Macaca fascicularis: one gene and its partners. The protein of the gene in region 6 interacts with the protein of the main gene of each other region in a pairwise test. Links are inferred from orthologs where the notes say so. Each region holds a gene or a part of one and is shown on either strand. Other genes may lie near its edges. The genes, in order: S100B, ATPAF2, FAM114A1, DTX2, CTPS2, SPG21 and CCDC102B.

What was found.
Region 1: the proteins of SPG21 (region 6) and S100B interact in binary tests that used the Homo sapiens proteins (3 or more experiments, as listed by UniProt). The two-hybrid records come from large-scale screens. The link is inferred for Macaca fascicularis from reciprocal best matches to the Homo sapiens genes SPG21 and S100B.
Region 2: the proteins of SPG21 (region 6) and ATPAF2 interact in binary tests that used the Homo sapiens proteins (3 or more experiments, as listed by UniProt). The two-hybrid records come from large-scale screens. The link is inferred for Macaca fascicularis from reciprocal best matches to the Homo sapiens genes SPG21 and ATPAF2.
Region 3: the proteins of SPG21 (region 6) and FAM114A1 interact in binary tests that used the Homo sapiens proteins (3 or more experiments, as listed by UniProt). The two-hybrid records come from large-scale screens. The link is inferred for Macaca fascicularis from reciprocal best matches to the Homo sapiens genes SPG21 and FAM114A1.
Region 4: the proteins of SPG21 (region 6) and DTX2 interact in binary tests that used the Homo sapiens proteins (3 or more experiments, as listed by UniProt). The two-hybrid records come from large-scale screens. The link is inferred for Macaca fascicularis from reciprocal best matches to the Homo sapiens genes SPG21 and DTX2.
Region 5: the proteins of SPG21 (region 6) and CTPS2 interact in binary tests that used the Homo sapiens proteins (3 or more experiments, as listed by UniProt). The two-hybrid records come from large-scale screens. The link is inferred for Macaca fascicularis from reciprocal best matches to the Homo sapiens genes SPG21 and CTPS2.
Region 7: the proteins of SPG21 (region 6) and CCDC102B interact in binary tests that used the Homo sapiens proteins (3 or more experiments, as listed by UniProt). The two-hybrid records come from large-scale screens. The link is inferred for Macaca fascicularis from reciprocal best matches to the Homo sapiens genes SPG21 and CCDC102B.

What each region holds. Positions count from the first base shown.
Region 1 is NC_088377.1:522,084-526,174, forward strand, and holds the start of S100B (protein S100-B), read left to right. Parts: upstream 1-1,291; 5' UTR 1,292-1,361; intron 1,362-3,912; exon of another isoform or gene 3,913-3,919; 5' UTR 3,920-3,920; coding exon 3,921-4,058; intron 4,059-4,091. UniProt on the Homo sapiens protein: Small zinc- and- and calcium-binding protein that is highly expressed in astrocytes and constitutes one of the most abundant soluble proteins in brain.
Region 2 is NC_088390.1:18,151,858-18,155,960, forward strand, and holds the start of ATPAF2 (ATP synthase mitochondrial F1 complex assembly factor 2), read right to left. Parts: upstream 2,801-4,103; 5' UTR 2,643-2,800; coding exon 2,510-2,642; intron 1-2,509. Other genes in the region: GID4 (glucose-induced degradation protein 4 homolog), read left to right, coding at 3,085-3,522. UniProt on the Homo sapiens protein: Plays a role in the assembly of the F1 component of the mitochondrial ATP synthase (ATPase).
Region 3 is NC_088379.1:38,235,135-38,239,129, reverse strand, and holds the end of FAM114A1 (protein NOXP20), read right to left. Parts: intron 3,580-3,995; coding exon 3,526-3,579; intron 1,103-3,525; coding exon 1,001-1,102; 3' UTR 501-1,000; downstream 1-500. UniProt on the Homo sapiens protein: May play a role in neuronal cell development.
Region 4 is NC_088377.1:51,247,824-51,251,323, reverse strand, and holds part of DTX2 (probable E3 ubiquitin-protein ligase DTX2), read left to right. Parts: intron 1-263; coding exon 264-903; intron 904-3,500. UniProt on the Homo sapiens protein: Regulator of Notch signaling, a signaling pathway involved in cell-cell communications that regulates a broad spectrum of cell-fate determinations.
Region 5 is NC_088395.1:16,509,013-16,512,512, forward strand, and holds part of CTPS2 (CTP synthase 2), read right to left. Parts: intron 1,882-3,500; 5' UTR 1,843-1,881; coding exon 1,677-1,842; intron 1-1,676. UniProt on the Homo sapiens protein: Catalyzes the ATP-dependent amination of UTP to CTP with either L-glutamine or ammonia as the source of nitrogen. Constitutes the rate-limiting enzyme in the synthesis of cytosine nucleotides.
Region 6 is NC_088381.1:41,578,780-41,582,759, reverse strand, and holds the start of SPG21 (maspardin), read left to right. Parts: upstream 1-1,180; 5' UTR 1,181-1,430; intron 1,431-2,254; 5' UTR 2,255-2,454; intron 2,455-3,980. UniProt on the Homo sapiens protein: May play a role as a negative regulatory factor in CD4-dependent T-cell activation.
Region 7 is NC_088392.1:11,756,766-11,760,265, forward strand, and holds part of CCDC102B (coiled-coil domain-containing protein 102B), read right to left. Parts: intron 2,784-3,500; coding exon 2,574-2,783; intron 1-2,573. UniProt on the Homo sapiens protein: During interphase, forms fibers at the proximal ends of centrioles to maintain centrosome cohesion. During mitosis, dissociates from the centrosome following phosphorylation to allow centrosome separation. Contributes to CROCC/rootletin filament formation.

The DNA of each region.
Region 1 (4,091 bases), on a different chromosome or scaffold from region 6:
GCACAGAGCACAGTTGTGCCTTCCTTGGGCCTGGGCAAGCTCTGTGCTTCACAGAGCAAGCCTGTGCGGATCCTTCAGCAGAGACCACAGCCAGGGTTGGTGAAGCTTAAGAGGAAGTGAGGGCCAACCAACCGGCTCAGGCCGTTCCTCACAGGAGCCTGGGGCAGGCTGACCCACGCAAGACCACAGCTCTCGGCCCTGTGCTATTTCCAGGGCACACTTATAGATCCTGAATGGTAAAGAACTTCCTAGATAAAGCAATGACAGCAAAACAGCCGTGTACGCAGATATCTCGTGGGAAACCCTTTCACGGCCACTTCGAAACTGGGTTGGGAGAAGGACCTGATGCTGGGTCAGGCATCGGTTGGGGACCATGGACACGTTTGTAGAGTTTGGGCCAATGCTTTTGTGTAATTTGTCAGAAGGAACACCTACTTCCTCACTCTTGTGAGGAAGAACCCACAAACTGGCCCCCGTGTTCAGAGGCTCAGGTCAACAAGTTGAGGGGACAGCTGGACTTCTCCTTCTTCAGGCTGGCTGGAGCCTTCAGCAAGGGGTACACCGTCCACACGCCTCTGTAAAACAGCATTCGCACAGGACATCTCTAAGGCATTGTCCAACTCTGACAGTCTGTGACCTTCTACCCTGGGATGGAGGGAAAGGCCTTGGGATACAATCCACACATCATGTTTTCCCCTAAAAGTACCACCCTTTTTAGTCCCTGCAGACACTGGGTTCAGCAGCTTCTCTGAGGCAGCCCCGTTGAGCCCAGGGCCGACCACAGACAAGCACTACCGTCCACAGAACCTCACGCCCGGTGGGGCCAGACGTGGAGGCTGGCAGAGGAGAGAAGCTCCAGGGGCCTCTCCATTAGAAACCAGCTTGCAGGCCACTTAATCTCCTACGCTCAGCCTGTACTTGCAAGCTGCTTGTTCTTGGCTGCACATTTGCTTTGTTTGAATCAATTAATCCAAGTCTCTCTCCTCTCCCTACCCCCAACCTTGCCTTTAGGGGAACATCAATATTCATGTAATAAATAAATCACACAAAAAGCTGACTCCCCACTTCCTGCCCTACAGGCCCTTTTTTCTTCCTCAGCCCATGTGCAATCCTGGCTCCCAGCAAGTCCCCGGGGCTGCTTGGTCAATGCAGCCCTGTGTGCAGGCCTGGCAGCCCTGCCACCCCCGCCCTCGGCCCCCATTGGCTGCCATGGCCTGCAGTGGGCTGCACCAGGGTTCATCCGTCCTCCCTGGGCAGACGGAATAAGAGGCTGCCTCTGCCCACTAGACCTGCCGCCCAGGACCCGCAGCAGACACGAGGCCCGCAGCAAGGAGACCAGGAAGGGGTGAGACAAGGAAGAGGTGAGAAAGAGCCAGGCCAAGAGGATGCTCAGGAAGAAATGGTTGTTTTCGTTTGGGTGGAAGGGAATGGAGGGGTAGAAACTAAATGGTAGCTTAAAAACCCCCTTTAGGACAATTGGCAGCACTTCAGAAGTGTCAATAGGATGATGTGTTTTAATCTCTACATTATTGCTTCTTTGTGGACACCTGACTGCATCAGCCCTAGGCAGCTAGAGGTATTTTTCATAAATCAGAGAAACCTCAGGTCTCGGCCCAGAAGTGATTGCTGACATTTTCCCAGTGGTGCTACAAATACTACCTCTCCTGTAACTACTTGAAGAGTAAAGATTTTGCTTCCCACTGCAGCTGGAAATGATGGAGAACCTAATGCTAGTTTAGTCCATATCCTAAATAAACCCCTTTTCTCCTTGTTACTTTTTCCACCGCCCTGGGTAAGTAACTCTTCAGTTTTCCAGTTTCCCTCAGTTTGAAGTGCCAGGGTGACAACAGCCCCAGGACGCCACTCAGAAATTACGTAACAGTTACAAATAAATTGAGTCAAAGAAATTGGGGTTTTGGTGGGTTTTAACTTTCTTCAGTCTCACAGTTTCTTAGGGAGGTTGAACCCCTAGAGGGATCCTCACACGCTAGGTAACGTGTCTTTCTAAGGAGTTAAAGTTCAAATGTTCTCTTGTTCTCAATATTAAAAGATTAATGTAGGACATTCACAGAATGTGAGAAAGAAACATATTTATTTCCATTTCTCTTAAAAGATAAACTATAAACCATCAACTATTTATTAAGTCAAAGGGAAAAATTTAACAAGAATTTTTTAATTGATTTGTAGCGTGGTTATGAAGAAAACCATATTTTCTAGTGGTTTCTATTAGTGTTCTAATATATGGAATACATGTTTTATGCCTTCCTTTGTAATAATCTCGTTAGTCATAGTTCATAGAAAAACAATTTAACCTCCTTTTCCCCAAATCATCATGGACTTTGAGGAGCATCAGAATGATGTAAAAGTGTCTTGTTTTGTTTTGTTCAAAAAAAATACACACACATATATCAATAATTGAAAACTTGAGTGCAAAGAATAAGAAAAGCATGAAATGTTAAAGATTTTAATCCATCTTAACTGTTCTATTTATGAATTACCAAATTTTTAGGGACTCAAGAGCAAAATAAAGTACACTGATTATTAATAGAATGCCTTTAGCAAAGATCTAGCCAGCACAAAAAAATCTTCAATCCTGTTTCCTTTGGAGCATCAGAAATAAATAAAATTTTTAACATCTAATTCCAAATTATTTTTAAGATGTAAGTCATATATTCAACATGGGAATGATTTTTCAACACTATTTATTAATTTATTTTTAATTATAACAGTGCAAATGTTCTTATTTGATGATTAGAACTCAAGGCCAAAAGCTGGTAAATTTCTCGGCCTGCCCATCTGTTTTGTGAGACAACTGACAAGGCATCCTTTGTAGAAGGCGCCTCATTCCCAGACTGATGAGATATTTCCTTGGTTTGCAGGCTGTGGCGTAAGGTACTTGCTGTGAGGGAGGTCGGAGGGATCTTACTTTGACAGCTGCAGAGAAACACCTATTCCTGCCCCGTCCCAGTCACTGCAGTGAATGAACCAGCCTTTCCCTGCACTGGAGGTAGAATGCAGGCTCAGCAGCTCAGCTTCCTGCCGGATTCTGTCCCTCCCTGCCACAGAACCACACGCATTTAATCAGTTAAACTTAGGATACATTTTTTTTCCTGGTAGATCAAATAACTTTCACTGTTATTCTTCAAAAAGATTGTGGCAATTCTACCATATTTATTTTTCCAGATGAATTTTACAGCTGTTTTTGTCATGTCACACATCCAAAAAAAATTCCATCATTTTTATTAAAAATGATTTAAATTTACATATGAATTTAAAGGAAAAACTTCCTACATTTTATGTTCCTCCGAATCTCTTGGAAGGACCTGCATTTTTCTTCCTAAACTTAGTCTTAGATCACATGCTATTTCTATATGAATAGAATATTTCGCACTGGATTTTCTATTTCTTTATTGATAGAATATAGGAATGCTCTTGATTTTTGTCTTATTTTGCTCCTAGTCACTGTCTCACTTTCAGATTGATTTTAACAGCTTGTAGTCGATGGTTTGCTCACCTGCACTCTACCACCTCATCTTGGAGCCTTACAAGAACAGAGAGGGACCGTGTGGGGAGGAAGCAGAAATTTAACCCGTGAATTCCTTTGCTGCTCTGCGTCTGTATTTTTGCTAAAGATTCCCTGTTGGACCAACCCAACCAGAAGCCAGAGGGCATGGGAATATATCCCTGTGGCCCACAGAGACAGAGAAGGCTCACATCTGTCTAAGAGGCAGGTGGAAGGATTGATAAAGGTACAAATTCCCAGAATGCCCCTCCAGGTCATGCCTGCTGTTCTGAGCTTGAAAAGAGTGCCAGGGCCAGTCCATCCCCCTTGTCTGGGTTGCGGTCTGTATTGATAACCTGTGAAATGTTTTATGATGAGGTATAGATGAGAAGGCATCTTTCCTTTGCGAGCCCCTAGGATGTCTGAGCTGGAGAAAGCCATGGTGGCCCTCATCGACGTTTTCCACCAATATTCTGGAAGGGAGGGAGACAAGCACAAGCTGAAGAAATCCGAACTGAAGGAGCTCATCAACAATGAGCTTTCCCATTTCTTAGAGGTGAGTCTTGCTTTTTACACTTGACACCTTCTC
Region 2 (4,103 bases), on a different chromosome or scaffold from region 6:
CTCAGTGACCCTTTCCTAAACTCCTCCTCTCCCTCTGATAACCTTCAATGGCATGGCCATTTCTAAGTGGCCAAGTTCAATCAGCTTGCTGACTGAAGTGTTCATTGAGAAGAACCCACTGGGGTTTAATCTTCTACTACTCCAAACACGCACAAGTATCTCACAACTGGTAATGTCTTTAAAGAGCACACATGGGCCTGATTTCTGCACCTCCCTCCTCATTCATTCATTCCTATTTTCTTTCACATTTGACTGCCTACCATGTGCCAGGTACTTCCAAGAGCCTAAACTAGTAAGTTTAGGTACTATCTACCATGTGCCAGGTAATTCCAAGAGCCTAACTAGTAAGTTTAGGCTTTTTAGAAAGGAAAAGAAGGCAGTAGATCAAGTGCCACCATTATGTAAAGTGAGCATCCACTAATCTAAATTAACCCTTCGTGGTCGGGCGTGGTGGCTCATGCCTATAATCCCAGCAGTTTGGGAGGCTGAGGCGGGCGGATCACCTGAGGTCAGGAGTTCATGACCAGTCTGGCCAACATGGTGAAACCCCATCTCTACTAAAAATACAAAATTAGCCTGGTGTGGTGGTAGACACCTGTAATCCCAGCTACTTGGGAGGCTGAGGCAGGAGACTTGCTTGAATCTGGGAGGCGGAGGTTGCAGTGAGTCAAGATTGTGCCATTGCACTCTAGCCTGGGTGACAAGTGCAAAATTCCATCTCAAAATAAATAAATAAATATATATATACACACACATTTAAAAAGTAATTAATTAACCCTTTGCTTTTTGCCAACTTGGTGAACTCCCGAATGTGTCCCCTTTGCTATGCCTCCCCGGGATGCCCTTCCTTCCTCTTCTTTACTGGCCCTTCATGGCCCATTTCCAGGCCCTTCCCCTGAGTCCTACAGGTGAAACTTCAGCTCCCTGCTGCATCCAGCCCCCTTCCCCATTTCTATAAAGTTATAGAACTTGGACAGGTGCAGTGGCTCACGCCTGTAATCCCAGCACTTTGGGAGGCCGAGGCAGGCAGATCACAAGGTCAGGAGTTCGAGACCTGTCTGGCCAACATAAACCCCATCTCTACTAAAAATACAAAAATTAGCTGGGCATGGTGGCAGATGCCTGTAGTACCAGCTACTCAGGAGGCTAAGACCAGAGAATCACTTGAACCTGGGAGGCGGAGGTTGCAGTGAGCCGAGATCGCGCCACTGCACTCCAGCCTCCACGACAGAGTGAGACTCTGTCTCAAAAAAAAAAAAAAAAAAAGAAACAAAGAAAAAAAAAAAAGAACTCGATAGCCAGAAAGATCCTCAAAGACAACCTAGTACTTCAACTCATGCAGAAAAATGAAGAAGTAGTTGCATGCCCAAGATCACACAGACCTCAGAGGTTTTGCCAGTATCAGATCCTAGATTTGCACTCCTGCCACAATGCCAAACTGCCTGTGAAGTTCTCAAGTTTCTAAAGCAGGCAGTGTTAGGGAAAAGTCCCTCATATCTTGCTGTCACCCTGGACATGTTCTAGATACCCAACACTCTCCCACCTTCTTGCTGAACTCCTACTCATCTATCATGGCTCAGCTTAAATGCCCTTTCACCCAAGACCCATTCTAAACCCTGAACAGCCCCAAGATGGGAGCAGGTGATTCTCCGTGTTTTCACAGCTTCTTTGTATGTCCCTTATCAGGATATTATACCCTTTGCACTCAACAGTGAACATCATTCAGGTGGGTCTTTTTCTTCTTTAACTGAGCTTCTCTACCAATACATACAGGTGGGTCTTAAAAGACTACCGTGTCTCCTGCCTCCAGCACTATAAAACTAATTGAATGGTGGGAGGGTGTTACTGCTTTTCATTCACTGAAATGAATCATTCTCACTCTTACCCTAACACCACTCACCATCAGCAATGAAAGAGCCACTACTTCTGAGCTTCATCAGAGTTGGAGGTGGAGGTGACTCCACAGTCAAAGGTGGAGATGTCAATTTCTATTTAGCAGAGAAGGCTGCAGATGGCAGAGGTTGTGGTAGGAGGGAAAGTCAGGAAACCTGCAGCTGAAGTGCCCAGGATGGAGGAATGAAGGTCTAGGTTCTAGGTCCCTTCTGTGCAGGTATTGTGTTGGGCAGTGGAGACACGGAAAGCAGTCAGACACCTCAAATCTCTGAGACAGTCTGTCTGTAACCTAGGCGAAGTCCTGATTCAGAGCCCAAACTTCCCCTTTTGAAAACAAGGATGACACCTTATTTCCTAGGGAGGGCAGCCATAAGCTTTGAGAAAAGCTGCACAGGCCAAATATCAATTACTGTATCGTGCGTCACTCGCTGTTCCCTCTCGGGTCGTCTGCCCTTGTCTGGGCTTCACTTTCTCATCTGTAAAAAGACTTGACCGGCTTGCATAACCTCATGAGCCTGAACCCTGCCTCAGTCACCTCGCTTTGCATAGCCGAAGCCCGAAGCCCACCTTACCCCAGCTCGGCCCCTACCCAAAAGAGAACGTGTCATAGTCTTACCTGTCGGCGGGGCGTAAGCCCGGGCTGGAGACGGGATGGTTGGCCCCGGACTCATAGAAGCGCAGGGACCACCCGCAGGCCGATTCAGGAGACGGCGTCCCCCGTCCCGCAGCCGGAGGCAGCTCCTCCACATCGCGCCCGAGGGTCTGGGAAGATGCGCGACGCGAAACCTGGAGCAGGAAACACAGAGCGAAGGGACCCCCAAAACCGCACGTTCGGGCTGTACGGAAACCTCTCACCGCTTCCTCAAAGCCCTCAGCCTCCCTTGGACGCCGCCATCTTCCGCATGACACCAACGGCGCGCCGTCGCCTTCGCAAACCTCCTGCGCACACCCCCAGTCAATCAGCATCACAAACGCACCTCGCCCCGCCCCCTCCACGCCGCGCCTCGGCGAGGAGACTACAAGTCCCAGCGGGCCGCTCGCGCACCCCGCCACGTGTTTTCTCCTCCCGCCAATGGGCGGAAGCGCCGCGTGAGCCTGCTCCCGCCCCCGAGGCTCGCCCGAGCCAATCGGAAGGGGCGGGGTGTGTGTGTGTGCGTGTGTGAGTGTGTCTGTGAGTGTCTCTGTGTGTGTATGTGTGCGCGAGGGCAAGTCGGGAGGGGGACCCAGCTCAGGACTGGGAGGCCCTGCTCGCAGGTCCCTGGGTCCCGGTGGCGGCCAGAGCGCTTGGTCCGCAGGCAGCGGGCGGGTGGTCGCCCCTCCCGCCCCCACCCCGCGCGTGCGCGCCCCGGCCTCTCCCTCCCCGCCACCCTCCTCGGCTCCCGCGCGGCGGCGGCGGTTCCTCTCCCACTCCCCCCAGCCCTGGCTCCGGGGGACCCCGCGATGCCCGTCCGCACCGAGTGTCCCCCGCCGGCCGGTGCCTCGGCTGCCTCCGCGGCCTCACTCATCCCGCCGCCGCCCATCAACACCCAGCAGCCCGGCGTGGCCACCAGTCTGCTCTACAGCGGCTCCAAGTTCCGCGGCCACCAGAAGAGCAAGGGGAACTCGTACGACGTAGAGGTGGTGCTGCAGGTGAGCGCCGGGCCGGGCCGGGGCCCGAGGGCCTCCTCGCGGCGCTCACGGGCCGTGCCCGCCTCGGCTCCTCGAGCCCGCAGCCGCGGAACAGGCCCTCGCCGCCGGGGCCTCCTGCACCCGGCGCTTCCCACCCGGGACCTGCCCAGCCTGTGTCTCACACTCTCCGAGCCCCAGCCCTGACCTGCCCCTTCGGACCCGGAGCCCGTCGTGACCGGCTCCTGGCGGACCCCGAACACTCCCAGACTTGAAGCCCGTGACCGGCCCGTCTGGGATCCGGAAGCCCCTCATGACTAGGGAAAGGCCTGGGTCCTTCCTCCCCATGACCTGTCGTCCCTAGATCAGGGACTGCCACCAGCCCTTTTCAGACCCTGAAGCACTCTCCATTGGTTTCACCAGACTCGGGACCCTCCCCGTGTCTGGGCCCATGTCAGATTCTCTCAGACCTGAGACATGCCCTCCCGCCCCTTCCTCAGTCCCAGGAATCCGCAGACCCTGGGGTCTTCCTGCTCCTGAGATCTCCTTAGGAGGGCTTCATCAGACCCCCAGACGGGGGAGCGCCTAACCCACAACTGACTGGT
Region 3 (3,995 bases), on a different chromosome or scaffold from region 6:
CCCAAAGTGCTGGGATTACAGGCGTGAGCCACCGCGCCCGGCCAGGGGTAGGGACTTCTTTAAGCAGTTTAAGAATTATTCTCTTTCAGAATATCTACCTCTACTGGGATAAGATCAGGTTTCTTTACTGTGAGCACACAGTAGGTGCTCAATAAACGCTTGTTGCAAGAATGAATGACTGGCTGGGCGCAGTGGCTCATGCCTGTAATCCCAGCACTTTGGGAGGCCGAGGCGGGGGACCATGAGGTCAGGAAATCGAGACCATCCTGGCCAACATAGTGAAACCCCGTCTCTACTAAAAATACACAAAAAAATTGGCTGGGCGTGGTGGCCGCAAGCCTGTAGTCCCAGCTACTCAGGAGGCTGAGGCAGGAGAATCACTTGAACCCAGGAGGAGGAGGCTGCAGTGAGCCGAGATTGTGCCAACGCACTCCAGCCTGGTGATAGAGCGAGACTCCATCTCAAAAAAAAAAAAAAAAAAAAAAAAAAGAATGACCATATTTTCCTTTTTTTACCATAATAGGTAAAATCTATAAGTAGTGTTATTTTTGCCTGCGACATTTATGTAACAAAACAAAGTTCAGTTTTAGAATTGATTTAAAGTAATACTATAAGAATGGAACATTTAAAGGTTGAAATTTAAAGGATTAAAAAAAAACGTCTAAGGTCTGCCCATGAATTTCTAAATACAGCATGCTTAACCAGGAAAATCAACATGAATATTTGTAAAAAAATTTCAGATAAAGGAAATATTCAATATAAGCCGTGTAAGTTTAAATTAACTTAAAGAAAACACAATTCTTTGTAAAAATAATTATACACACTGAGAGAAATGATAACTCTCTCTAAATTTGCATTCTCAATATTGTCTGTGCAAAATTGCTTGTAGTGTCCTCAAATGGGTGTCTGTGGCCAGGTGCACAGAGAACATCCCCTTAAATGGTACATATTGAGGCAAGGCGGCCAGCTGTCTCCTTTAACTGGATGGAGTCTGGCCAGGTCATGGCTGTGCTTTCAAACAACTGGTCTGGATATGTGAGACCTGCAGAACAGGCAGCAGCAGCTGGAAGGCATCCTGTATGTACGTCGTGCTGTTGCAGCCCTGTGAGAGGAGAAAAATGAGATTAAAGGGTTATTTTCATAGTTTAACCTTGACAATTCTTCCAACTGGATAATGTCCCCACTCTTCAACCCACTCCCCAATACTGGATTGTATTTATCTTGCAATGTTGGTGCTTAAAGCAAGCGTAAACACATGCTTTTGGATGGGGCATGTCCAGCTCTCAATTATCTATACTAACAGAGAGAATAATTCACTCGAGATAAGGCAAATCATTTTCATGGATTTTTTTTTTTTTTTTGAGATGGAGTCTTGCTCTGTCACCAGGCTGGAGTGTAGAGGCACGATCTTGGTTCACTGCAACTTCCGCCTCCCAGGTTCAAGCGATTCCCCTGCTTCAGCCTCCCGAGTAGCTAGGACTACAGGCGCGTGCCACCACGCCCAGCTAATTTCTTTGTATTTTAGTAGAGACAGGGTTTCACCATGTTGGCCAGGATGGTCTTGATCTCCTGAATTCGTCATCCGCCTGCCTTGGCCTCCCAAAGTCCTGGATTACAGGCGTGAGCCACTTCTGTGGACTTTTAAGATCCATCAGTGTGTGTACATTTTTGGCCCAGGGTATTTCCTGTCTTATCTATCCCTTTCCCAGATCAACCCTACTGCCCTGAAATAACACAAAAACACAGTATGAAGGTGGTCAGTTTGTCCTACCCTACAGATCGATAAATAAGAATCGTCAACATAAAGCTAACTGGAGATATTATTGGGCAGTTATTCACAGCAAACTTGAACACTGTTATCCTCCTATGCATGGTACTTCCTGCTTGGTTGGCATAGCTGACATTATTATTCCTGTTTTGTGGTGCACTAACACACAGTATTGGATGGAGAGGCCTTTTAAAGGCTAGGGTAACTAAAACATGTGAAAACATCTACTGGGGAAACAGAAAATACATTTGACCTCATATTCCTCATACCTGACATGGTAAGTTAATTTTATGCCTTCTGGGTGGCCAAGGGAGAGATTTTTCTTGTACCACACTCTGCCTCTGACTGCCAGGGTTTTCTCTTAGCTGTGTCTGTCCCTCCAAGACCTGCCCCTACAGCCCTATTCCTTCTGGCTGATGCCATCCTACTGCGCAGCTGCATCCTAAACAATAATATTCAGTGCCATCACTTAGTTATTTCTGTACCTTTGTCGTTTTCCTTAACAGTAAGGTGCAAGTCCCCCAAACAATGCTATAAATATATAGGTAGCTGATATGGTTTGGCTGTATCACCACCCAAATCTCATCTTGAATTTCCCACAATTTCCACATGTTGTGGGAGGGACCTGGTGGGAGGAAATTGATTCATGGGGGCAGGTCTTTCCCATGCTATTCTTGTGATAGTAAGTCTCATGAGATCTGATGGTTTTATAAAGGGGAGTTTCTCTGCACAAGCTCTCTTGTCTGCAGCCACGTGAGACGTGCCTTTCACCTACCGCCATGACTATGAGGCCTCCCCAGCCACGTGGAATTGTGAGTTCATTAAATTTCTTTCTTTTGTAAATTGCCCAGTCTCGGGTATGTCTTTATCAGCAGTGTGAAAATGGACTAATACAATAGCCCTCCTGAACTTTTGTAATTTCCAAATTCTGCAATGGACAGCCACCTCAGGGAGCAAAATCCTATGATATATGCATCGCCCATGTTCAAACTTAGCTTGTTAACACCTTGTGCCTTCAGCTAGGTGCCCTGGGCACTTATAGTTTAGCCCCTAACAGAAGATTTTCCTCTACCAATCTTCTACCTTTCCTCTACAAGTAGAACACAGTGCCTATGATTCAAGAATGAGGATTCTTCCTGGACCTCTTTTCTTCTCTCTTAGGCGACTGTTTCTGGCAAAGACACAGCAGTGTTGGTTGGGGCAGCTTTACATCAACACAGCTGATGCTGCAAAGTCCTAGTGAGCGGGCAGTCCGCAGAGTGAGAAGGCACAGAGGATGGTGCCCTTGTCACTGACAGGGCATAGGCTAAACATTCTCCTGGTCATTGTTGCCAGCTTGGAGATTAGACCCAGCTAAACCAAAGGTTATTCTAAATCGAAGGAAGTGCCCATTTTTATGAAAATCACCGATGAGCAATAACCCCTCATTGCAGCCAATAATCACAGTGTTAAATCTAGTGTCAAATTTGGCAGCAGAAATCTGCTTCTGCTGGAGCAAACAGTGATGGAAATAACGTGCAAGCTTAGCATTTCTTTTTATAATCAGGAATTCTTGAAAATTAGGTATTGTTGCTTCATCAGAGGGTTTACAGCTGGTTGAGCTACACAAATATACTCAAAAAAGACTTGATGATGAGATTCAGAATTGCAATAACATTTGCTGTGGGGGAGAAAGACAAAAGAAAAAAAAAAAAAAGAAGCAGCAGTTCTAACATTTACTTTGATTCAGGAGCACTTTCTCTCCAGAGACCACTTACCTCTAACAATACGCTACTGAGCATGGGGTTGAGGACCTCGGCCTTCTTGTTGCTCTGTGGAATCAGAAGTATGAAATTGACAGATTAGTGCTCGTACCACAGGCACGTAAAATGTAATACACTGGCTTTGTTGAGGGATCCTCTACGGAGGAAGAGGAGAGGAAGTAGAATGTTTCCTACAGACCAGGCTTCATACCTGCTGCTGCACCCTTTTAGTATTATTTAGTTGCAATAGAAATCCTAGGAAGTAGGCAGGTATCATGATAACCCCAATTTAAAGAGGAGAAAATAGGGATCAGAAAGGCTGAGTAACTTGTTTAAGGTCACATAGCTAGAAATTGAAACCGAGACCTTTTTCACGATGTAAATTCTATAGCAGGTCTGGGATAAGAGTGAAGCGAGGGAGGCTGAGTTGTGTAGGCAGAGGGTTGGATGCTGTCTTTACTTAAAATTTTGATATTTTGATGATC
Region 4 (3,500 bases), on a different chromosome or scaffold from region 6:
TGTAGTCCCAGCTCTTCAGGAGGCTAAGGCAGGAGGATCACTTGAGCCCAGGAGGTCAGGGTGGCAGAGAACTATGATCACATCACGGCACTGCAGCCTGGGCGACAAAGGAGACCCTGTCTCTAAAAATAAATAAACAAATAGCAGCATGACTGTGTACCTACTGTGTTCCTATTTATTTGGGCTGTTGAAAAAAGAATTTGAACGTTCCCTGTATTTTGGGGATGCTAGCAGACTAACCTTTTGTTTTTCTTTGGAAACAGGCACCATGAGGGCTGTGCGGAGGCACCTGTTCCCCCAGCACTCAGCCCCTGGCCGAGGTGTCGTCTGGGAGTGGCTGAGCGACGATGGCTCCTGGACCGCCTACGAAGCCAGCGTCTGTGACTATCTGGAGCAGCAGGTGGCCAGGGGCAATCAGCTCGTGGACTTGGCCCCGCTGGGGTACAACTACACTGTCAACTATGCCACCCAAACGCAGACCAACAAGACTTCCAGCTTCTGCCGCAGTGTGCGGCGCCAAGCAGGGCCGCCTTACCCGGTGACCACCATCATCGCTCCGCCGGGCCACACGGGCGTTGCCTGCTCTTGCCACCAGTGCCTCAGCGGCAGCGGAACTGGCCCCGTGTCAGGCCGCTACCGCCACTCCATGACCAACCTCCCTGCGTACCCCGCCCCCCAGCACCCCCCGCACAGGACCGCTTTTGTGTTTGGGACCCACCAGGCCTTTGCACCGTACAGCAAACCCTCACTCTCCGGGGCTCGGTCTGCGCCCAGGCTGAACACCACCAACCCCTGGGGCGCGGCTCCTCCCTCCCTGGGGAGCCAGCCCCTCTACCGCTCCAGCCTCTCCCACCTGGGACTGCAGCACCTGCCCCCAGGATCCTCCACTTCTGGTGCAGTCAGGTATTGTGGGCAACAGCCACTCGTTTTGTCCGCCCTGTGTTTCCGCTCTTACTTGGCTGGGAAGACTCACCCCAATTCCTGCAGATGCGGCTCCTGCCCCCTGGGTGGTCCCTGCCATGGCATCTCATTTGCATGTGCCATGTGAGTGCTGAGGTGCCATGGCCGTCCAGAGCCTACCTGACCCCTTGTACCCGAGTCCTGGTGGTCACCACACGGGTTAGAATCTACAGTCCTTTCACTCACGATGCTGGGACCCTCCACGGAGAGCAGAGTTAGAGGCCTGTGGCCTCTGCTTGCGGGCTTCATGGCGAGCATTGTGCCTGAGAACACCGGGTCACTGCCTGTACACTGACTCCTGCCATGTGCCAGGTCGTGAAGACCCAGAGACCAGAGCATCAGCCCTTACCCCTGCGACCCAGTCTAGTGTGGGGGGCTGTCAGCACGGTGTGAGGGAGGACAGAATGTGGAGCATGTGGCAGTGGCTGCAGGTGGCATGGGTGACCCGGCCCCCTGCTGATGCAGCCCAGCCCAGAGTGCCTGGTAAAGCACTCAGCTCCTTGAGAGAGAGATAAGGATACCACGGGCCCCGTGCAGACCAGAGCAGGTGGCATTTAAAGTGAGGAGATTGGCCAAGCACAGAGGCTGACACCTTTAATCCCAGCACTTTGGGAGGCCAAGGCAGGAAGATCATTTGAGCCCAGGAGTCAGAAACCAGCCTGAGCAACATAGTGAGACCTCATCTCCACACACACAAAAAATTTTTAATTAGCCAGGCATGGTGGTGCACACCTGTGATCCCAGCTACTCAGGAGACTGAGGCAGGAGGATCGCTTGAGCCCAGGAGGTCGAGGCAGCAGTGAGCTGTGATCGTGCCACTGCACTCCAGCCCCTAGGCGACAGAGCGAGACCCTGTCTTAAAGCTGGGCCCAGTGGCTCATGTGTGTAATCCCAGCACTTTGGGAGGCCAAGGTGGACGTATCATCTGAGGTCAGGAGTTTGAGACCAGCCTGGCCAATATGGTGAAACCCATCTCTGCTAAAAATACAAAAATTAGCCAGGCATGGTGGTCAGCACCTGTAATCCCAGCTATTTGTAAGGCCGAGGCAAGAGAATCCCTTGAACCCAGGAGGTGGATGTTGCAGTGAGCCAAGACCATGCCACTGCACTCCAGCCTGGGTGACAAAGAGTGAAACTCCATCTCGGCCGGGCGCGGTGGCTCAAGCCTGTAATCCCAGCACTTTGGGAGGCCGAGACGGGTGGATCACGAGGTCAGGAGATCTAGACCATCCTGGCTAACACGGTGAAACCCCGTCTCTACTAAAAAATACAAAAAACTAGCCGGGCGAGGTGGCAGGCGCCTGTAGTCCCAGCTACTCGGGAGGCTGAGGCAGGAGAATGGCGTGAACCCGGGAGGTGGAGCTTGCAGTGAGCTGAGATCCGGCCACTGCACTCCAGCCTGGGCGACAGAGCGAGACTCCGTCTCAAAAAAAAAAAAACTCCATCTCAAAAAAAAGATAAAATGAGGAACCCCCCTGGATTTCCCTGGATTTGGCCAAGGTGAATGCTCTGGGCTGGCCGTAGCCCTCTGACGCTCTGGCTGACTTGGGGCTTTGTCATTCATTATTGAGAGTGTTGGGCTTGGAGCACATTTTGAGAATTCAGAGTGGTAGCTGGGACGGGGCTTTCCGAGAGTGTGCTGGTGTGGGTGGTGAGGGAGTGTGTGGGCCGCACTGGCCCTGGTCAGCATCCTGCTGCCTCCCTGCTCACTGGCCCACCCCTGCCTACCGCACCCACGTCAAGGGCTGAAACTTCTCAGGGTGGTCGAGACCTCCTTGGCGACTTCTCGGACCTCTAGTATTTTTTCAGACTGTGTTTCTGAGGACCCTGTCAGCTTGTGTAAGACACAGTGACAGCGCCTCCCACTTATTGGTTCGTGTCATGTGCCAGGCCCTCCTGAGCAGGCTGCATGAGTGACTTCACTCATGCCACGACGCTCTCAGGCTGAGCAGTGTTCTTCACTTACAGGGGAGCACCTCCAGGCCCATGAGGTTGGCGACACAGCCAGCAAGTGCCAGAGCTGGGATTCAGCCCAGGCCCCAAGAGTGCGCTATCTGGGGCACATGGGGAGTTCTTGATGCTCCCGGGAAGGCAGGGGGCTCTTTTAATACATTTTAATTTTATTTTGTTACTATTTTTAGAGACAGGGTTTTGCTGTGTCACCCGGGCTAGAGTACAGTGGTACAGTCATGGTTCACTGCAGGCTCGAACTGCTGTGCTCAAGTGATCCTCCTGCCTCAGCCTCCTGAGTAGCTGGGACCACAGGTGTACACCACCACACCCGGCTAATTTTTCAGTTTTATGTATTGGCATGGTCTTGCCATGTTGTCCAGGCTAGTCTTGAATTCCTGGCCTCAAGCAATCCTCTTGCCTCAGCCTTCCAACGTGCTGAGATTATAGGCATGAGCCATCACACCTGGCCCAAAAGGCCTCTTGAGGGATGAGCTAGGAGGAGGCCAGTAGACAGGAGAGTGATGGGCCTTGGGTGAGTTAGAGTTCTCATGGGCATCTTCTGCCAGGAGTTGGGGCACGCGCATCTG
Region 5 (3,500 bases), on a different chromosome or scaffold from region 6:
GGCATATGTTAATATTCCCTAACATCCCATAGGACAAAACAAATCACATGGCCAAACAGAGTGACCAACCTGCTTGGTTTGCCCAGGACTAAGCGGGTTCCCAGGACACGGGACTTTCTGTTTTAAAATCAGGAACATTCCAAACAAACCAAGACAAGTTAACTATCCTACGTGGCCAAACTCCAAGGTCAAAAGGCAGGGAAATGTATTCCACAGAGGGATGGTGGGTGATATTTTGAAGCAAAAATACAATCTACCACAGACTTGAATAAGTCATTCACAAACAAAATCAAAATCAAAGAAATCTAAACTAAAACAATAAGATACCCTCTTTTTGTTTGTTTTATTCTCCGGTTAGTGAAGTTTAAAACAAAATATTCAAGGCCGGGCGCAGTGGCTCATGCCTGTAATCCCACCACTTTGGGAGGCCGAGGTAGGAGGATTGCTTGAGCCCAGGAGGTCGAGACCAGCCTGATTAACATGGCAAAATGCCAGCTCTATTAAAAAAAAAAATACAAAAATTAGCCAGACGTGGTGGTGCGTACCCGTAATCCCAGCTACCCAGGGGACTGAAGCAGGAAGATCACTTGAGCCCAGGAGGGGGAGGTTGCATTGAGCCGAGATCTTGGCCACTGCACTCCAGCCTGGGCGATAGAGTGAGACCCTGTCTCAAAAAACAAAAACAAGAAGACAGAATAGCAAGGGACACAAACATTTCTGTTTCTTGATCAGGGGCTGGTTATACAGTGTGTTCATTTAATGAAAATTCATCCAACTGTACACTTACGATTTATGCTCTTTTTTGCTTGCATATAAAAAGGTTTTTTTTGGTTGGTTTTTGTTGTTGTTTTGTTTTTTGTTTTGTTTTGTTTTGTTTTTTTGAGACAGAGTCTCGCTCCGTCGCCCAGGCTGGAATGCAATGGCTTGATCTTGGCTTACTGCAACCTCCGCCTGCCAGGTTCAAGTGATTCTCCTGCCTCAACCTCCTGAGTAGCTGGGACTACAGATACATGACACCACACCCAGCTAATTTTTTTTTTTTCTTTGAGACGGAGTCTCGCTCTGTCGCCCAGGCTAGAGTGCAGTGGCCGGATCTCAGCTCACTGCAAGCTCTGCCTCCCGGGTTTACGCCATTCTCCTGCCTCAGCCTCCCGAGTAGCTGGGACTACAGGCGCCCGCCACCTCGCCCGGCTAGTTTTTTGTATTTCTTAGTAGAGACGGGGTTTCACCGTGTTATCCAGGATGGTCTCGATCTCCTGACCTCGTGATCCACCCGTCTCGGCCTCCCAAAGTGCTGGGATTACAGGCTTGAGCCACCGCGCCCGGCAAAAGCCATTTTAAAAATAAATAGAATACACTCATACATCAAAATGTCACCATTAATAATAGTTACTCCAGGCAATGGGAAATGTTAAGAGAAACATACTACCTTTATGATAAAAATAAAACAGAATCCATAGTACAAAAAGTACAATGTTTCCACAAGGGTTGATTAATTTGGAATGTCATCAGAGGTATGAACAATGTGTCAATGACCATGAGAAAATTCACGTATTCATAGCATGCAATCTAGTCACTCTAAATCTGGAACTACATCCTAAAGAAATTACCCAAAGCGGAAGAAAAAAATGCAGTTGAGCCTAGCGCTATAAGGGGGAAGTGGTTCTCTTTCGTACCGTGTTCATAAGGTGAAAAAGTGCCAGCATCGATGTTAATATAGGGGTCGATTTTGATGGCAGTAACTCGGAGTCCACATGATTTTAGAATCGTCCCAATGCTGCTGGCAATGATCCCTTTACCGATGCCTGAGATGACCCCACCCGTGACCAGGATGTACTTCATTGGCAGAATAGTGGCTGGGTGCCAACACCCAGATATAATCTGAAAGGCAATAAAATTATGGATAAGGAAAGAGAAATATTTGGTTTTTTTTTTGAGACAGAGTCTTGCTCTGTCGCCCAGGCTGGAGTGCAGTGGCCAGATCTCAGCTCACTGCAAGCTCCGCCTCCCGGGTTTACGCCGTTCTCCTGCCTCAGCCTCCCAAGTAGCTGGGACTACAGGCGCCCGCCACCTCGCCCGGCTAGTTTTTTGTACTTTTTAGTAGAGACGGGGTTTCACCGTGTTAGCCAGGATGGTCTCGATCTCCTGACCTCGTGATCCGCCCGTCTGGGCCTCCCAAAGTGCTGGGATTACAGGCTTGAGCCACCGCGCCCGGCGAAATATTTGAAACTAGTAAAGCAGACAGTGCATTCAACCAGAATTTTTTTTTCTTTTTTTTTTTTTTAAGACAGTCTCACTCCATCATCCAGGCTGGAGAGCAGTGGTGCAATCATGGTTCACTGTAATCTCTGCTCGCTGGGTTCAAGCGATCCTCCCACCTCAGCATCCTAGTAACTGAGACTGTAGGTGAGCACCACCACACCCTGCTAATTTTTGTGGTTTTTTTGTAGAGACAGAGTTTCACCATGTTGCCCACGCTAGTCTCCAACTCCTGAGCTCAACCGATCTACCTGCCTCAGCCTCCCAAAGTGCTGGGATAACAGGCATGAGCCACCGCCCCTAGCTCAGAATTTTTTTTTTTTAAGAGACAGTGTCTCACTAGGTCACCCAGGCTGGAGTGCAGTGGCATGTTCATAGCTCACTGCAACCTTGAACTTCAGGGCTCAAGCAATCCTCTTGCCTCAGGCTCTGGAGTAGCTGGGACTACAGGCACGTGCCAACTCTCTCAGCTAATTCTTAAAACATTTTTGTAAAGACAGGTTCTTACTATGATGCCCTGGCTGGTCTCAGACTCCTGGGCTCAAGCAGTCCTCTTGTCTTGGCCTCCCAAGATGCTGTGATTACAAAAGTGAGCCACCATGCTTCATCTCACCAAAATTTCAAAAGCACACAGCAGTTTTCTATCTAAACTAAATACTTGAACTTTTTTTGAAACAGAGTCTTATCTTCTAGGCTTTTTATTATTGTCACTATACAGAAAGCTGTGGATACCTTCTGCAAGCAAAGTGCCTAGGTCTGTTGCCCTGGGTTTCCAAAGACCTCAACTCTATCATGCAACAAACTTCATCATGATAAACCAAATTTCTCTAGGATTCACAGGCATGCTAAAATGTTTAAGAGCTCAGACTCCAGTGTCAGACTGATCTGTACAAACTGTACCTGGGCAAGTTCTTTTTTTTTCTTTTTTTTTTAGACAGGGTCTCACTCAGTTGCCCAGGCTGGAATGTAGTGACACAATCTCGGCTCACTGCAACCTCCACCTCCCCGGTCCAAATGATTCTCATGCCTCAGCCTCCCAAGTAGCTAGGATTATAGGCATGCACCACCATGCTGGGCTAATTTTTGTATTTTTAGTAGAGATGGGATTTCACCATGTTGGCCAGGCTGGTCTCAAACTCCTGGTCTCAAGTGACCACCCACCTCGGCCTCCCAAAGTGCTGGGATCACAGGCGTGAGCCACCACGCCCGGCCTTGGGCAAGTTCTTTATCCTTTCTGTGCC
Region 6 (3,980 bases):
GAAGCTTCGAGACCACCTGGGAAAATAGACAACTAATGTAATGAATATCCATAACCAGTTTCACAGACAACCAGTAGTTTGCAAGTTATTCCACCCATTGAACAATTCCAAATATTGGAGAAAAGGCCCTCAAGTTAAAATACTCCATGGAAACATGCTCTATACATCTATGTGGTGCTTACAATAAAAGATGACTTCCTGCGACTGACTTGCAACTCCGAAAGAAGTGATTTAGAGAAAAAAAAAGAAAGAAAGAAAGAAAAAGAAAAAGGTAAGTATGTCACTGTGCTCTTGGGAAATGCTTTTGGGATTTGTCCAAGTTCTAGAGTGGAACCCAAGGCTCCTGAGCCAGGGGACAGAAGTGATAATTAAGTAGGATGCAATTTAGTTGGATCTTCCCTGACCTTAATCCCATAAACAGTTGCCTAGGTAAGGGCAAAGTCTACAGGCCCTAAAACAGGGTACAAGCTTCCCTAAAACTATTAGAGAGAAGCACTTTCAACAGGACCTTGTTGCAGGATCCCTAAAAAAAATTCAAAACAAGGAGATTTACATGTTATTCACCTTATCATAATTTCAGAAATATTTTACTAAAAAAAAAGAGTCGTGACGTCTGCAACACCTCAAGACGTTGACGTTTGCAACACCTTAAGAACAATGATTATAAGTGTATTAATAAGTATTAATAAGTGTATAAATGTATTATAAGTGTATTAATATTCTCTCTGATTTTAAGGGGAAAATGATGAAGGAACAGGAAGATGGGTGGGCGTACGTTCCCAGAAATCCCCAGAACGTCAAAAGGAAGTGGGGACTTTGAGTGGAAGACTAATGGAGAGCGTCTACGGTTGTGCCAAAGGAAAAAAAATGTTCCTAAGAAAAGAGTATACAAAGTTCTGTTCACCAAAGCCTGGAACCCAAAGGTGTCTCTCCAAAGCTGTAAACGCGAACTGAAAGCAGAAGCAGGTCCCAAGGGGCCAGGCGCCCCCTTCTCCTGGGTCCGCAGGTCAGACAGGAGAACTAAGGCTGACCCACAGGTAATTCAGCCCTCTCCCAACGCCCGCCGCCGCTGAGGATCCCACGGAGCCGCCCCCCGCTCCCGTCGCCGTGGCGACCGCCGGAGCCACGCAGCACCGCCCCTTCCTCGCGACGTGGCCCCGCCCCCTCAGAACCCGGAAGCGGGAGTCTCGCGCCCGCTGAGCGGCGGTTCGGAAGTGGGGAGCGCGCCGGCCCGAGCTCGCTCGGCCACGCGCCCCGCCCCTCAGAGGCCGGCCTCCTGCTCTCTCCGCACGGCCTGCTGCGCCCGCGAGTCCCGAGCGCTCGGTCGCCCGCCCCGACCGGGGCCCAGCCGCCTCCACGGCCCGCGCTCGTACTGGAGCGAAGAGCAGCCTCTGGAAGGAGGGGAAGGGACGTGGGGGCGGCCACGGCAGGTGAGGGTGGGCGAAGCGCTGGGAAGCTGCTGGGTGTGCGGTATGCGGTGTTGTAGGTGTGTGTATGGCGCGTGGCTGCTTTGGTTGGTGTGACTTTGTGAGTATGTTCTGAGTGGGCCGGTCCATGTGACCACTCACGTGATCACGTGCCCTTGTGAGTGTGTGTCTGGGGCCGACTGTGGGCTGTGGGGTGGTCGGTGTGCTTGCGACCCTGCCTTTGTGTGGCTGTCACCGGTGGGACTGGCGGGGAGCTGTGTATGAGTCTCCAGCGGGAGGTGGGGGCGGCAGAGGGCTTAACCGGGGCATCCTCCTGTAAACCCATACTCGGGCTACACGACTGCAGCCCAGGGACATTTTTTTTTTCTCAGCAAACTTTTAAGAACTCTGAGCAGAGGTCAGTAATTTTGGAGACAGCACCTCGGCCTGAAAGTGACAGATGTCTTTGTTGTTGCTGAGTGTGGGCCAGGCGTGAGGTTTGTGAACGGGGAATGAGGAACAGAGCGGGACCGGAGTGTCTCATTTTTCCTCTTCTCGTTTTCCTGGGGAGTTATAAGTTAGACATTTATGCTGCTTCCTTTGTCTCCACCTACACTGGTTCAGCTCCTTTTGGCACAAAGATTCAACAAATTGAGGAGTAACTTTTTTTTTTTTTTTTTGAGTCGGAGTCTCGCTCTGTCACCCAGGCTGGAGTGCGGTCGCCCGATCCCGGCTCACTGCAAGCTCTGTCTCCTGGGTTCACGCCATTCTCCTGCCTCAGCCTCCCAAGTAACTGGGACTACAGGCGCCCGCCACCACGCCCGGCTAATATTTTGTATTTTCAGTAGAGAGGGGATTTCACCGTGTTAGCCAGGCCTATGGTCTCGATCTCCTGACATCATGATCCGCCCGCCTTGGCCTCCCAAAGTGCTGGAATTACTAGGCGTGAGCCACTGCGCCCAGCCACTGAGGAGTAACTTAATAAGCTGTGTCCAAATTCCAAAAGTTTTTATACCAAGAGCGTGAGAAGAGATGTCACAGATGTCAGGTAGGCAGCTTTTCCTCCTGTAAGGTTTAGAGATAATGCAATGAAGAAAAGAGGGATAGCTTTCCCCTGAAGAGATCTAAGAAAAGGATAGCTGTGTACTTCTGTGGTGAGGGATGGAGAGGTGCATTAAAAAGCCAGTTGCATCGCCCAGAGACTCTCCGCTTCTAATATTTTGTCATGGCTAATATTTATAATCACGGATTGTCCATAATGCACGTCAACTATAGATTGAAATAAAGTAGCAGAAACCTCTGACTAGTTATGCTGGTTATGTGACTTAAACATTGATAAAGGTGATTTTGTTGACTTTAAAGTGGCAGGTTCTGTTGAAGCCCTGAGCGATAGGGGCATAGTCACTACTGGCAGGTTTTTTTGTTTGTTTGTTTTTTGAGACAGAGTCTCACTCTGTCACTCAGGCTGGAGTGCAGTGGTGCGATCTCAGCTCACTGCAACCTCCGTCACCCAGGTTCAAGCTCTCCTGCCTTAGCCTCCTAAGTAGCTGGGATTACAGGCGCCCATTACCACGCCCAGCTCATTTGTTTTTGTTGTTGTTGTTGTTGTTGTTGTTGTTTTGTTTGTTTTTTTGAGATGGAGTTTCGCTCTCGTTGCCCAGGCTGGAGTGCAATGATGCGATCTCGGCTCACCGCAACCTCTGCCTCCCGGGTTCAAGTGATTCTTCCGTCTCAGCTTCCTGCTTAGCTGGGATTACAGGGATGCGCCACCAAGCCCGGCTAATTTTGTGTTTTTAGTAGAGACGGGGCTGCACCGTGTTGGCCAGGCTGGTCTCAAACTCCTGACCTCAGGTGATCCACCCACCTCAGCCTCCCAAAGTGCTGGGATTATAGGCGTGAGCCACTGCACCCAGCCACAACTGGCAGTTTTTTTTTTTTTTTTTTTTGAGACAGAGTCTCGCTCTGTCGCCCAGGCTGGAGTGCAGTGGCCGGATCTCAGCTCACTGCAAACTCTGCCTCCCGGGTTTAAGCCATTCTCCTGCCTCAGCCTCCCGAGTAGCTGGGACTACAGGCACCCGCCACCTCGCCCGGCTAGTTTTTTTGTATTTTTAGTAGAGACGGGGTTTCACTGTGTTAGCCAGGATGGTCTCGATCTCCTGACCTCGTGATCCACCCGTCTCGGCCTCCCAAAGTGCTGGGATTACAGGCTTGAGCCACCGCGCCCGGCCCACAACTGGCAGTTTTTATTGTCCAGCAGCACAAGGGCCAGGGAAGACAGGGAGTCCACAGCACACCCTGAAGAGGGGTTTCCTTAGGCAAGATTGAGGCTAATACTGTGGTCCTTTTCCCACCAGCATGAACAGGTGCTTTTGTTTTTGTGAGGAACAAAATCATGAGAGATCAAATCAGTTTTGAGCTCATGGTCTACATTCATTCTTATTCAGTACTGACCAGTTTGGTCACAATCTCAGTTAACCTTTGCCATATACAGAATATTCCTGTTATGACTTGGAAAAGTATACCCCCTTGGTGGATGAAAGAGAGCTAGGAGAACAAACTTTCCTATTCATACCA
Region 7 (3,500 bases), on a different chromosome or scaffold from region 6:
TTTTTAAGTTGTAAAAGGATGATGTACACATATCCTTAAACATAGTATATAAAAGCAACTACTCAATGGAGATTTATGTGATAAGATTACTCATGTAAATAAAATTATTTTTCTATGAATTAATAGTGCAATTTAAAACTGGAAGGCATTTTCTTTAAAAATGTATTCCCTATACCACTGAAATAAAAAAAAATCAAATGTAAAGCCCTGTAAAAAGTCATACCTTTTTCAATTAATAGGGACTTACAAAAATTTTATTGAACAGTTAGAATATTAAAACCCAACATATTTTTTTTAAATTTATGTGGGGTTCTTAATGAGTAGCAGGCAGCTTTATGTCTGCCACAAACCTTTGGTAAGTGTGATTTAAATGCAAATGTCATGTAGTAAGAGATCTTATATTTCTTTTAGAGACTAAGATTCAAGCAGTGTTTGCACTAGTGGCCTTTACATGCTAGCACCTTCTTTCACTGCCTCACTCATGTATGGAACTTCTATACATATGTAGACATAGTACTTATACATGGTATACACACACACACACACACACACACACACATACGCACATGCACATAGCACCATGGTATTCATCCATGGTACTTATATACATATAAATTAACTCTTATTGAAATAGTGTTAAAACTACAATATGGTTTTGTGTTATGATAAAATCTACATTATTCCCTGAACCTTGGCATATTCTGTACACAGCTCTGATTCATTTGACATTTGAGGACATCATAATCTTGACATTTTGAGCTTCTGGGGAAGTTCCTGTTACACTAAGAATTTTGGCGTGCTACTGTTCCAAAATAAGTGATTATTTTAGTTCCAGCAGATAGTCTGAATTTATAATGAAGAGGGTAAAAATCACCAATGCCACCCCCACCATCAAAATGATCTATACTTAAAAAATCCTACAGTCTTCTAAGTGATCAGCATACCCACTGACTTAGACCTTCGAGGATCCTCCCAGTTTCCAAGTTCTGCTTAGTCCTAGTCCAAATGACTACACTGTCGTCAAAGAGACCAGGTCTGGAATAGGTGTGCCCTGATGACAGGTTACGACAATGCCAGCTCCAAACAGGCCTCAATTTTTCCTGAAAGACACACTTTATATTATGACATTTTGGTACAACTAGAAAGGTGCCAAAATTAAATATATAATCAATTGCTTCTTAATCTATGTCCCCTGCCACTTTATTCTTAGCAGTTATTATAGTGTTTTATTTATAAAAATTTGTATGACTCCCTGCATAGACTCTAAGCCCATGCTAGGCGGGGATAATGATTCATTAATTACTATTCTCATTACCTGCATATAGAACAGTGACTGACACAGAGAATAATACAAATAAATGTTTGTCTTGTTTAAATAAATCAAATAAAAAGTATTTCTGTAATCAATCCACAGTCCATAATTGAGATGATTCTGTGCTGTTTAGAGTAGAGATGTCCAAAAAAGATGTCTACAGATTTATCAGTGTACTTATGTCAGAATCAAATACATTATTATAGATAGTTTATGAATCAGTACAATAGAAAATTATGGTCACGGACTATAACATTTAACTTTAGATATTTGCATTGCTAGGTCATGAAACACTAATACAATTTAATCTTGCATTTGCAATAAATCCCTAGATTCATGAAAGAATGACAAAACAATACGGAATTCAATTTTTCTGGCCATGTAGCTTTTAGAGCTTATATGAGTATGAATGACTCATATATCTCAAAACTATGAACTTATCAAACTCACCCTTGAAAACTGTTACAGGAATTGAGTGAGAAATAGAATTGTGCATTAAGATGCTATATGTAATTGAAAAATAGAAACAAGGAAAATAAAATTTGCAGCATATTGACACAAACCCACATTAAAACTATAAGACTGTCATTAAAAACACGTTTAAAAATCTGTAAACTATCAAAAAAATGTCCGCCTATAGCACAAACTATATCTATTGGCTTGGGGATAAAACACATCTAAAATTAAATTTCCCAAATTCAAATTAGGAATGTTATTCTGGTTTTAAGATTTGTACCATAGGCTGGAAAAATTATTTGAAAAATTATGCATTTAATTAGCTCAAAAATAATCGTTCTGAAACTGACAAAAAAAGAACCAGAAACAGTGAGTTTCAGCTAAATTTAAATGTTTATGTAGAACTTACCATAGCTACCAGCAAGTGCTTATTGTATAGTTGCTTGAATTAATGAAAAAATCTTTACTGGAAATAAGATCAATAGCTTAGAAAATACTGAGACAAAGCTTTAATAAGAAACAAAAAACCAGAAAGGTCTATTTCTTACTTCATTTTTCTTCCTCCTTTTGGAAATCTCGAAACTGTCTGAAGATTTGTCATATTTTAACATTTGACACACTTTGTTTCAGATGCATGAACAACATTATTTTACATCCTAGTGGGCAGAAGAGCAAGGGGTATCAGGTGTTAGCTAGCACAAAAGGAAATAGCCAAATGTGGAGGCATGTACCAGTGAAGACAGACTCGGCATAGGCATGAGGGTGAGATTAGACAGTGAGAATTTGCTCCAAGGAGCACCCATACCTGGTTTTTCTCTTGCAGGTCAATTTGTGACTTCTTGAAATCAGGACTTGGAGAGTTTGCACTTAATCTAATTTTCTTATCCAAGAGCTCTTCCATTTCTTTCATCTGGATCTTCAACCTTCTATTTTCTCTCTCCAGTCCCTGCTTTTCTGTTTCAAGTATTTCCCTCTTGTCCCATTCCGAGCTGTTTTCAGCTTGCAATCTCTCTAGCTACACACAGAAAACACAAAAAAGCAGCATGCAGCATTTGCAACTGCCAAAAGGTAACGCCACCGACAAACAGACTCCCATTAAGAAAGGTTCATGGATATGTCCATTGATATAATTTTAAAAAGAAAATTCTATTTGTTTGAAAACATGAGAAAAATACAAAAGTCTGAAGATCAGGCCAAACCGTAGATAAATAGACTTTTCCTCTTGGTTCATATAACTATCTCTACAGCCATATGGACCATATTTTTCAAATACATGTGTCAAGTGAAAAACTGCTGCTCTTGGGAACACATTAATCTCCACTCTCAACTGATGAACATTCTCAGTGGAGAAGACACAAAACCATTTTGTGGGCAATTTTGATTGGATATATTCCACTTATTCATTCACTCATTTATCTAGGGAATAGATAAATGCTATATATCTATCTTTCTATCTATCTGTCTGTCTATCTATCCATCCATCCATCTATCTATGCAACATTCGCAGTTGCCAAAAGGTAATGCAAAAGGTAATTTCATTTTGGCCAGGCGCGGTGGCTCACGCCTGTGATCCCAGCACTTTGGGAGGCCCAAGTGGGCGGATCACAAGGTCAGGAGATCAAGACCATCCTGGCTAACACGGTGAAACCTCGTCTCTACTAAAAATACAAAAAATTAGCCAGGCGTGGTGGTGGGCGCCTGTAGTCCCAGCTACTTGGGAGGCTGAGGCAGG